Linked DNA regions of Canis lupus familiaris. The protein of the gene in region 1 interacts with the protein of each later gene in a pairwise test. Links are inferred from orthologs where the notes say so. Each region holds a gene or a part of one and is shown on either strand. Other genes may lie near its edges.

Region 1 (3,500 bases):
GCGCGAGCCCCTTGAAGGGTGGCGGCAGCGGGGTCCAGGCGCACTTAGGGTTTGCTTAGTTCACTGTGTTGGTCTGAGGAAGCAATATTCATGGTTTCTTTGCATTTTCAGTTTTACAGACGAGAGAAAAGATCACGACTAATTGCTATAAGTTTAAAATCAAAGATGGTTCTTTCATCACGCTCCGGAGTCGATGGTTCAGTTTCATGAACCCTTGGACCAAGGAAGTAGAGTACATCGTCTCAACCAACACTGTTGTTTTGTAAGTGTCCCCCCGCCCGGGAAGCTCTCTTGCCTCCAGGACAAATGCCCGGGCTCCTTACCTGGGAAGGCGGGTGCAGGCGGCAGCCAGTGGCGCACCCTCTAAGGCTACCGGCCGATACCCGGCGAGGCCTCGGGATGGGCAGAGGCCAAAGGGGTCGGTAACCAAGAACACGCTTCGATGTGCGTGCCGTGCAGGCCCCTGGCTCGTGGAATTGCCACGGGAGCAGCAACCGTTCCTTCCCGATACGGCAGTTAGCTTTTGACGCCCGAAGGCCCTGCACGCTGGGCGCCTGGGCGCTGCCGTGCAGAGGCCGACAGCCCAGGAGAGGCTCGCCCGGGTGCCGCCTCATGCTGGCCTTGGCTCAGGGCCCCCGTGCCCGCCGGGCTGGCCGCCCGAGCGCTGGCAGCCCAAAGCCCGCCTCAGAGGCCGCCACCTGCCAGGCGAGCAGGGAAGGGGCCCCTCTTGGGCGAGGACTGCTCCCCGCATCTCCTTCCCCATGGTGTCCAGAGCAGAGTGAGGGGCCGGGGCTAGGTCCCTGCACACTGGCAGGAGAGGAGGCCCCGTAGCAATGGCAGTGGGCGGCTGCAGTCACCTTCTCTGCCGGACTGTGTCCTCTACAAACCAGGAAGGCCCAGGCAGGCAGTGAGGCCAAAGGCCGGGATGCTGTCCACCGTGTTCTCGAACAGCGAGGAGACCTGCTGAGCCACTCAGGCAGACACTTCATTTTCTGGCCTGTCCAGGTCCAGAGTGGACACCGGACACCTTGGCCAAGGTGAAAGGTGCACGGTTCTGAGCAGGCCTGACTCATGTTTCCTTATTGCTGGGATGTTCACAGAGCCAACGTCCTGGAAGGCGGGGACCCAACCTTCCCGCAGCTCACAGCGTCCCCCCACAGCATGGACAGCATGCTGCCCTCTGGAGAAGGTAACTATGTACTGCAGGGGCATCGGGGCTTGCCCATGAGAAGCTGCTCGTGGCCAGTGTACCCCCTCCCCAACTATTTGGTGTCCCCAGCCCCCATATTTTATGGAAGGGAGGCTTCAAGCAGATGAGCCCTAAGGACGTTGTCCTCTCACTTTCTCTGTGGAGCCTGGAATACTGAGAGCTCGTTCCAAGGTTGCCGGGACCTTGGAAGCCCTTGGAATAGGAAACTCGTTGCTCCTCTTGGGCTTTCCTCCGTGTTGCCCAGTGCTGGGATGTGGTGCTTTTTGGTACTGTCACTGGCTCCTGGGGGGGAGGAGGGTCTCTGTCAGTGGGGCTCCCTTCTGGGCTTGGCCCTGGCCTCTGCACCTGACGTACCCTTCCACGGCACCACCTCCGCTTGCATGGCTTCCTTCAGTCCCCTCCTCTCCACCACCGACTCTTACATCTGATCTCTCTGTCTCTGGAGCCATAGGTCTGTCTCTCCACCTGCCTCCTGGACAGAGCCACCTGGAGTCTCAAAAGCACCTGAAATTTAGCCTCTCCAAACCGATTCTCTGCACTCCTTCATCTGGTTGGTTAAGCCAGAAACCTTGACTCTTCCTTCATGCCCGTTCTATCTGAGCACGAGGTCCTGTCCCTTCTGCCCCTCTTAGACTTCTCCATCTCCCTCCCATCTGTCGCCCGGATTGTTGCAGAGAATTTTTTAATCGTAGTCTTACTCCCCCACCCAACCCCTTTCCTCCGCTGTAGTTCACGCTCCATGCAGTGGACTTCCCAGTAACCCAACCTAAGTGCCTTTTCTGTGCGAAGTGTTTGGCACGCCTTATCTCTGGATCCTGTCTAAATCCATTAGTATGGCATCCAGGACCTTTCACCCAGGTACCTCCTCCAGTTTCATCTGTCACTCTTTCGTCATCGTTCATGATGAAGTTCTTGGAGTAGTCTCCCAAGTTGTGTCCTCCCTCAGTGCTCTTGCGTACATTGGTTGCTGTGCGTGGAACACCTTGCCCTCCCTACCTCTCTGCCCAGCTAATTTCTACTCCTCTCTCAAGACTCAGCTCAGTGTTAAACTTGCCCAGGAAGCTGTACCTGGGCCTGGAGGAGTTGGGTGCCTTGTACTTACCTGTCAAACTTACCACACTTTGTTCCAGCCATTGTTCATCTTGTTCATCCCCCTGTTAGACTGTGAGCTCCTTGAGGGCAGAGCTGCCGACTTGCCTCTGGGACCCTGGCTTGCTGTACAGCGGTAGTCGGTAAACGGATGTTGAGCGCGTGAGGGGAACTAGAGCCCTTGCTTTGGCCTCTGATCCTGGACGCAAACTTGAGCCTTCTGCTGGAATGGCTTTTCCTGACAAGCTGCAGCTCTGCTGTCCCTTAGGGCATAACCCTGAGGTTAAACTTCAAGTGGATCACAAGATGAACTGGTTTTAACTCATAATAGCATTTCTTCCTTGGTTCCCCTTTCCCACTCTCAGATTCCTTTGTTGTAGGTGGCCCAAAGAGGACCCACCCCACTGTTCCAGGGATTCCAGGGGGAACCAGGGCTGGGGCAGGCAAAATAGGTCGAATGATTGCTGAAGAAATCATGGAGATCCACAGGCAAGTAACACCTTCTAGTTGCTCCCTTAAACCAGTGGTTCTCAACCCAGGGCATTTTGCCCCCGAGAGCTGTTTTGTAATACCTGGAGATATTTTTGGTTGTCATAACTGGGTAGGACGTTGCTGCTAAATATCCAGTGGATAGAGACCAGGGATGCTGCTTGCTAAACATCCTGTAGGACACAGGACAGCCTCCCTGCCATCTCCTTCCACCCGAAACAAAGAATTTTCCAGTCCCAAATGTCAATGGTGCCGAGATTGAGAAATCTGGCCTTAAAGAGTGAAACCCAAACAGGCCAGAGTTAAAGGGAATTCTTTGGGGACTCAGTTTTCTCATTACTTTATTATGACTCAAGGGGCTCATGAGGATGGATGAACACTGTAACATTACAGGACTGCAGGAGTGGCGACAGTCCGTGATCTGGGCCTCAACACGACATTAGCTGCTTCTAGTCAAAGCTGCCTGGCTTCGATAAGAGCCCACGCAGAATCTCTCTTGAGAGGGCTTCTTTTCCATATTTAAGTAGTTTACTGGAGTTTGAGTTCTGGGCTCCTACTTGGCTGTGCTTAAGAGATTCACTTAACTTCCTGGTCTCTGTTGAATTAAGCCATAAAAGGCAGGTAATAACTATCTCCCAAGAATTGCTTTAGGAGTATGAGAGGTCTCAGGAATGTTCCTAGGGTAGAAACTGACATATGGTGAGTGCTCAGA
Region 2 (4,102 bases), on another chromosome or scaffold:
CCGCACGGGGCCGCGGGGTGGCAGCGGGCCCCGCGAGGGTCTGTCCCGGCCGCCCCCGGCGACAACTTGAACGGGACTTCGGCCGGCGGCCCCGCGCCCGCCCGCGGCCGCTCCCGGCCAGTTCACCTCCAAGCACGCACACCCGCCGCCCGCGCCCGCCGCCCGCCGCCCGCGCCAGCCCGACCCCGCGCCCCCGGCCGGGCCCCGACCCCGCGCTCCCCGCGGCCCGGCAGAGGCGCCGGCCGCCGCGCCGCCCAGGGGAGCCGGGGGTCCGGGGGCCGCAGCGTGCGAGTCCCAGGCCGGGGCGGGCCGAGGCCCCGCGTGCGCCCGGGAGAGACCCGGCAGCAGGAGCGGAGGGAAGGAGGAGGAGGCGAGGGAGGAGGAGGCGGCGGCGGGAGGCGGGAGGCGGGAGGAGGGCGGGGGAGGAGGAAGAGGCGGCGGCGGCTCTCCCCACCGGCTCTGCGTGCGGAAGAGTTTGCCGCGCGAGCAGCCGGCCTCCCGCAGGAGCCGAGGGACCCGCGCGCCGGCGGCCGGGCAGCAGCGGCCGCGCAGCTCCGAGACCCGCGGCCGCGGTGGCGGCGGCGGCGGCGGCGGCGGCAGCGAGAGCAGCGCCTCCCGCCGCCGCCCGGGAGGAGCTCGCCGCGCCCGCTCGCCGCCTCGGCTCCCAGCGGCGGCGGCGGCGGCGGCGGCGGCGGCGGCGGGAGGCGCGTCTCCCCGGCCCAGTCCGCGCCCGGCCCCGCGGGGTCGCCCCGGCCAGCTCCGAGGTAAGGGGCCGCGCCCGGGGACGCGGGGGGCCCGCGGCGGGAGTCCGCGCGCGCGGGTTCGCGGGACCCGGTCACCTGCCAGCCGGCGCGGCGGACGCGCGGGGCCGCGGGGGGGGGGGGGGCGCTCAGGCGCGGGGCTGCGCGGCGCGGGGGTCGGGGGCGCGGGATGGGGTCCCCCCGCCCCCCGGGGCCCGCCGCCCGGGACGCCGCGGCCGGCAGGACTGCAGGGGCGGCCGGGCTGGTGTGCTCCGTGTGCGTCGCGCCGTAGGCAGCGGAGGACGAGGCACCCCGAACCTCAGCCTTTGGGGGAGCTCAGAGGGTGCCGTCGGGGTGGATAGAGGCCAAGCCGAGGTAGCAGCCTGGAGGGCCGCCCGTGCCCCCCGCCCCCCCCCCCGAGCCCCACCGCTCGCCCTCTCGAAGAGGGGGAGCGGGGAAGCCCCGGAGAGTGCGGCGTGCGCGCCCCGGGCCCGCGATCCCCCGGGTCCCTGGGTCGGATTCGGCTCCGGGCCCGACCGGGAACCCAGCCTGCCCCCTGCACGTTTGGAGAACGCGTAGCCCGGCTCCTCGCTTCGCCTCGCCGCCGCTCCCCAGCTTGGATGCCAGCGCGCTGTTTTGATAGGAGGCGTGCCCCCTCCCCGGGGCCGCCGAGGAGCCCTACCTTTGACCTCTCCGTGGAGCTGCGCGGGGTCCTTCAGCAGGGGGAGCGGGGACAGGTGCCAGGGAGCTAAATTAAAAACCCCGCTCCTCTGCCTGCCGCTCCTTGACTGCTCAAGGTAAGAAAGTTTGTTTTCAGCCCTGTGATTCATAAATAATTAGTAACCAGCTTTGGAGATTAAGCAAGATGGAAACCTTAAAAATACACACACACTTCCAGAAAGTCTAAAAACTACCATGATTGTATCCGGGAGGCTTTAGTTCAAAAAGTTTAGAGCCCTGGGATTCAACAGGTGTTCAGAAGGGGTCCAAGAGGGGAGAGCTCTACGTGTTTGTCTTCAGTACCTACCTGCTGCTTTGGTATAGTGCCCCAAATTCATTAAATTGGTTGGCCTGTTTCTTTACAGGTAAAATATTGAGTAGCTGTTAACGTAATCAGCAGAGAGGAACTGGTCATTTGTGATCATTTAGAAACCAAACCTTCTTTTCCTTAATAGGAGGGTTTTCCCTGTTTGGACTTTCCAGATGATTGGCTCAAAAGCAGTTCCTGGCAAGATGTAGCCCTGTCCACGCCTCTGTCCTAAGACTAACTTAGTACCTGACCAGTGAATTGAACAACTGATTATGGCTTGCATGAAAGCAGAGATGCCCTTCTTGGGTGGGAAGTGCCAGTTCAAAATTCAAGGGCAAGTACTAAGGTCTTTCTGTCACAAAGATTTCCTTAAAGAGAAAGCTTAGCAAAAATAATCCCAAAATGTATTTTAAAATAGCCCCCAAATAAATATAGCATTTAAAGGTGTTGTTCTGACTAGGGCCACTATTTTTTGCAAAAGCAGAAAATAAATTTTTAAAATCTGTGTTACATTACACAGCTAAGCCAGGACCCATAGAAGTATTGGCATTTCTCAGCAGTCTTCTTAAACACTTAGTTAGAAATAAAGTGTGCAACATAAAGACATTCAATACTTGTCTTCCATCTCCCAGAGCGATGCGGGAGTGTGGCTTAGAAGAATTGTAAATGTGCTGCTTTTAGCCATTTTCATCTTGGAAATCGATGCTTCTATTTATTTGCTGATCTGTCCCACTGTGTGCAACAGCAGAATTGGTTATATCCTTACTACTCCCCAGAGTGACTCCTGCGGAGGTGAGAGAAGGGACTTCATTCTGGAGGAAATACGTTATTAATAAAACGTTGCCCCCCAAAGAGTTTAACGTGCCAAGAAAAGAACCAAGTGTGGCTTTATTAATTAGTGTGATGAAAAAAATTCCCTGATATGATGAGAGTGTTCAGATGGTGACAAAGAATTCATCTCTGGGTAGAAAATAATGATTGTTTTTAAGCACATTTGGTTCTTTTAGGAGTTTGGGTCCTTTGTCAACTATTTCTGGCTGCCTAATAATGAAAATGATAAAAGTAATGAAAATGTTAAAAAAAAAAAACAATGACCCACATCATGTGATGCATGCCATTATTAAGTTGAATTTATCGTATTTTTTAAACTATCTTAACTCTTGGTAGTCTTTATAGCTGGCTCTTCACCCTGCCACTTGTTTCAAGTTACAAATTAGTGATTTGTTCAGATTAAAATAACACTATATGCATATCTTTTTGATATGATCACCTGTATATGTTCATTTTTTTGAAGTCTTGCTTTTGAACCTTAAGAACCTGAAGAGCTAAAGTCCTTTTTCTTAACTGTTATTACTGCTATGTATCTTGTCCTTCACTTGAAAAGTCAGTTTCTCCATTGTGATCGGGACACTGATTGTCCCATGCGGATCCCATGTAAGCGGTGACATCTCTTTCCCAAGAGAGGTCAAATTACAAGGTGTTGAAAATAGCCCAGTGACTCAGTATTCTTGGCTGCTTTACGCCGATGGATTAATTGGCTGCATCATAGAAGCATCTAATTGAGTTTCACATTTAAATAGTGGAAATGATATTTGATGCATTATTTGCTTACACAAATGTTTCATTAGCATGTTCCTGATCATCATTCTATTTGTAGCAAAGATGGGAGGTCAGGGACTGCCACGTTCATATTCCCCACCGCATCTCAGCCCTGTGAGGCCTTGTTCATAATAGATGCTCAACAAAGAGTGTAGGAAGTGAGCGGAGTTGTCGATGAGAGTTATCCAGAGGTTAGAAATTCGTGAATGCTAATGGAGTACTTAACTATGAGTAACTCAAGTTTAAATCTGATGATGGTGAATAATACCTTACAGCACTAAGTAAGGACTTACTGAATGTGAACACTTATTAAAAAGAATTTCTAAATGCAGGCATTAGCTAAGGCACTACTGAATTTGCTCGCTGAATTCTTGGACATTGGCGACCACTTGGCATTGTAAGCGAAGTCATCTTCTCGGCAAATTGCCTCCAAGATCACTTGAACTTCTATGGATCATAAAACAATGTGTGGTTTCCATCTGATGATGCAGAATAGAAAGGAGAGAGCTTAGCTTCTCCTTTCTGGTGGTGTGAAAAAAAGTGTATTAAAGAAGGTGAAGGTGCCAAAGATTGTGTCTCAAACTTCACAGTGCGTGTGATTTCCTGGGGACCTTCCTAAATGCACAGGCTTACTCAGCACATCTGGGTTGGGAGCCAATATTCTGCATTTCTCACAAGCTCCTGATGCTGTGAAACGCCAGCAAAGTTCTGGAATACACTTCATTCCGTTTAG

Evidence for each region. The genes of interacting proteins can lie anywhere in the genome.
Region 2: the proteins of ARNTL (region 1) and NPAS2 interact in binary tests that used the Homo sapiens proteins (3 or more experiments, as listed by UniProt). The link is inferred for Canis lupus familiaris from reciprocal best matches to the Homo sapiens genes BMAL1 and NPAS2.

Annotation. Positions count from the first base shown.
Region 1 is NC_049242.1:36,919,812-36,923,311, forward strand, and holds part of ARNTL (aryl hydrocarbon receptor nuclear translocator-like protein 1), read left to right. Parts: intron 1-111; coding exon 112-262; intron 263-1,100; coding exon 1,101-1,189; intron 1,190-1,655; coding exon 1,656-1,760; intron 1,761-2,664; coding exon of another isoform or gene 2,665-2,679; coding exon 2,680-2,788; intron 2,789-3,500. UniProt on the Homo sapiens protein: Transcriptional activator which forms a core component of the circadian clock.
Region 2 is NC_049231.1:43,056,638-43,060,739, reverse strand, and holds the start of NPAS2 (neuronal PAS domain-containing protein 2), read left to right. Parts: upstream 1-1,302; 5' UTR 1,303-1,537; intron 1,538-4,102. UniProt on the Homo sapiens protein: Transcriptional activator which forms a core component of the circadian clock.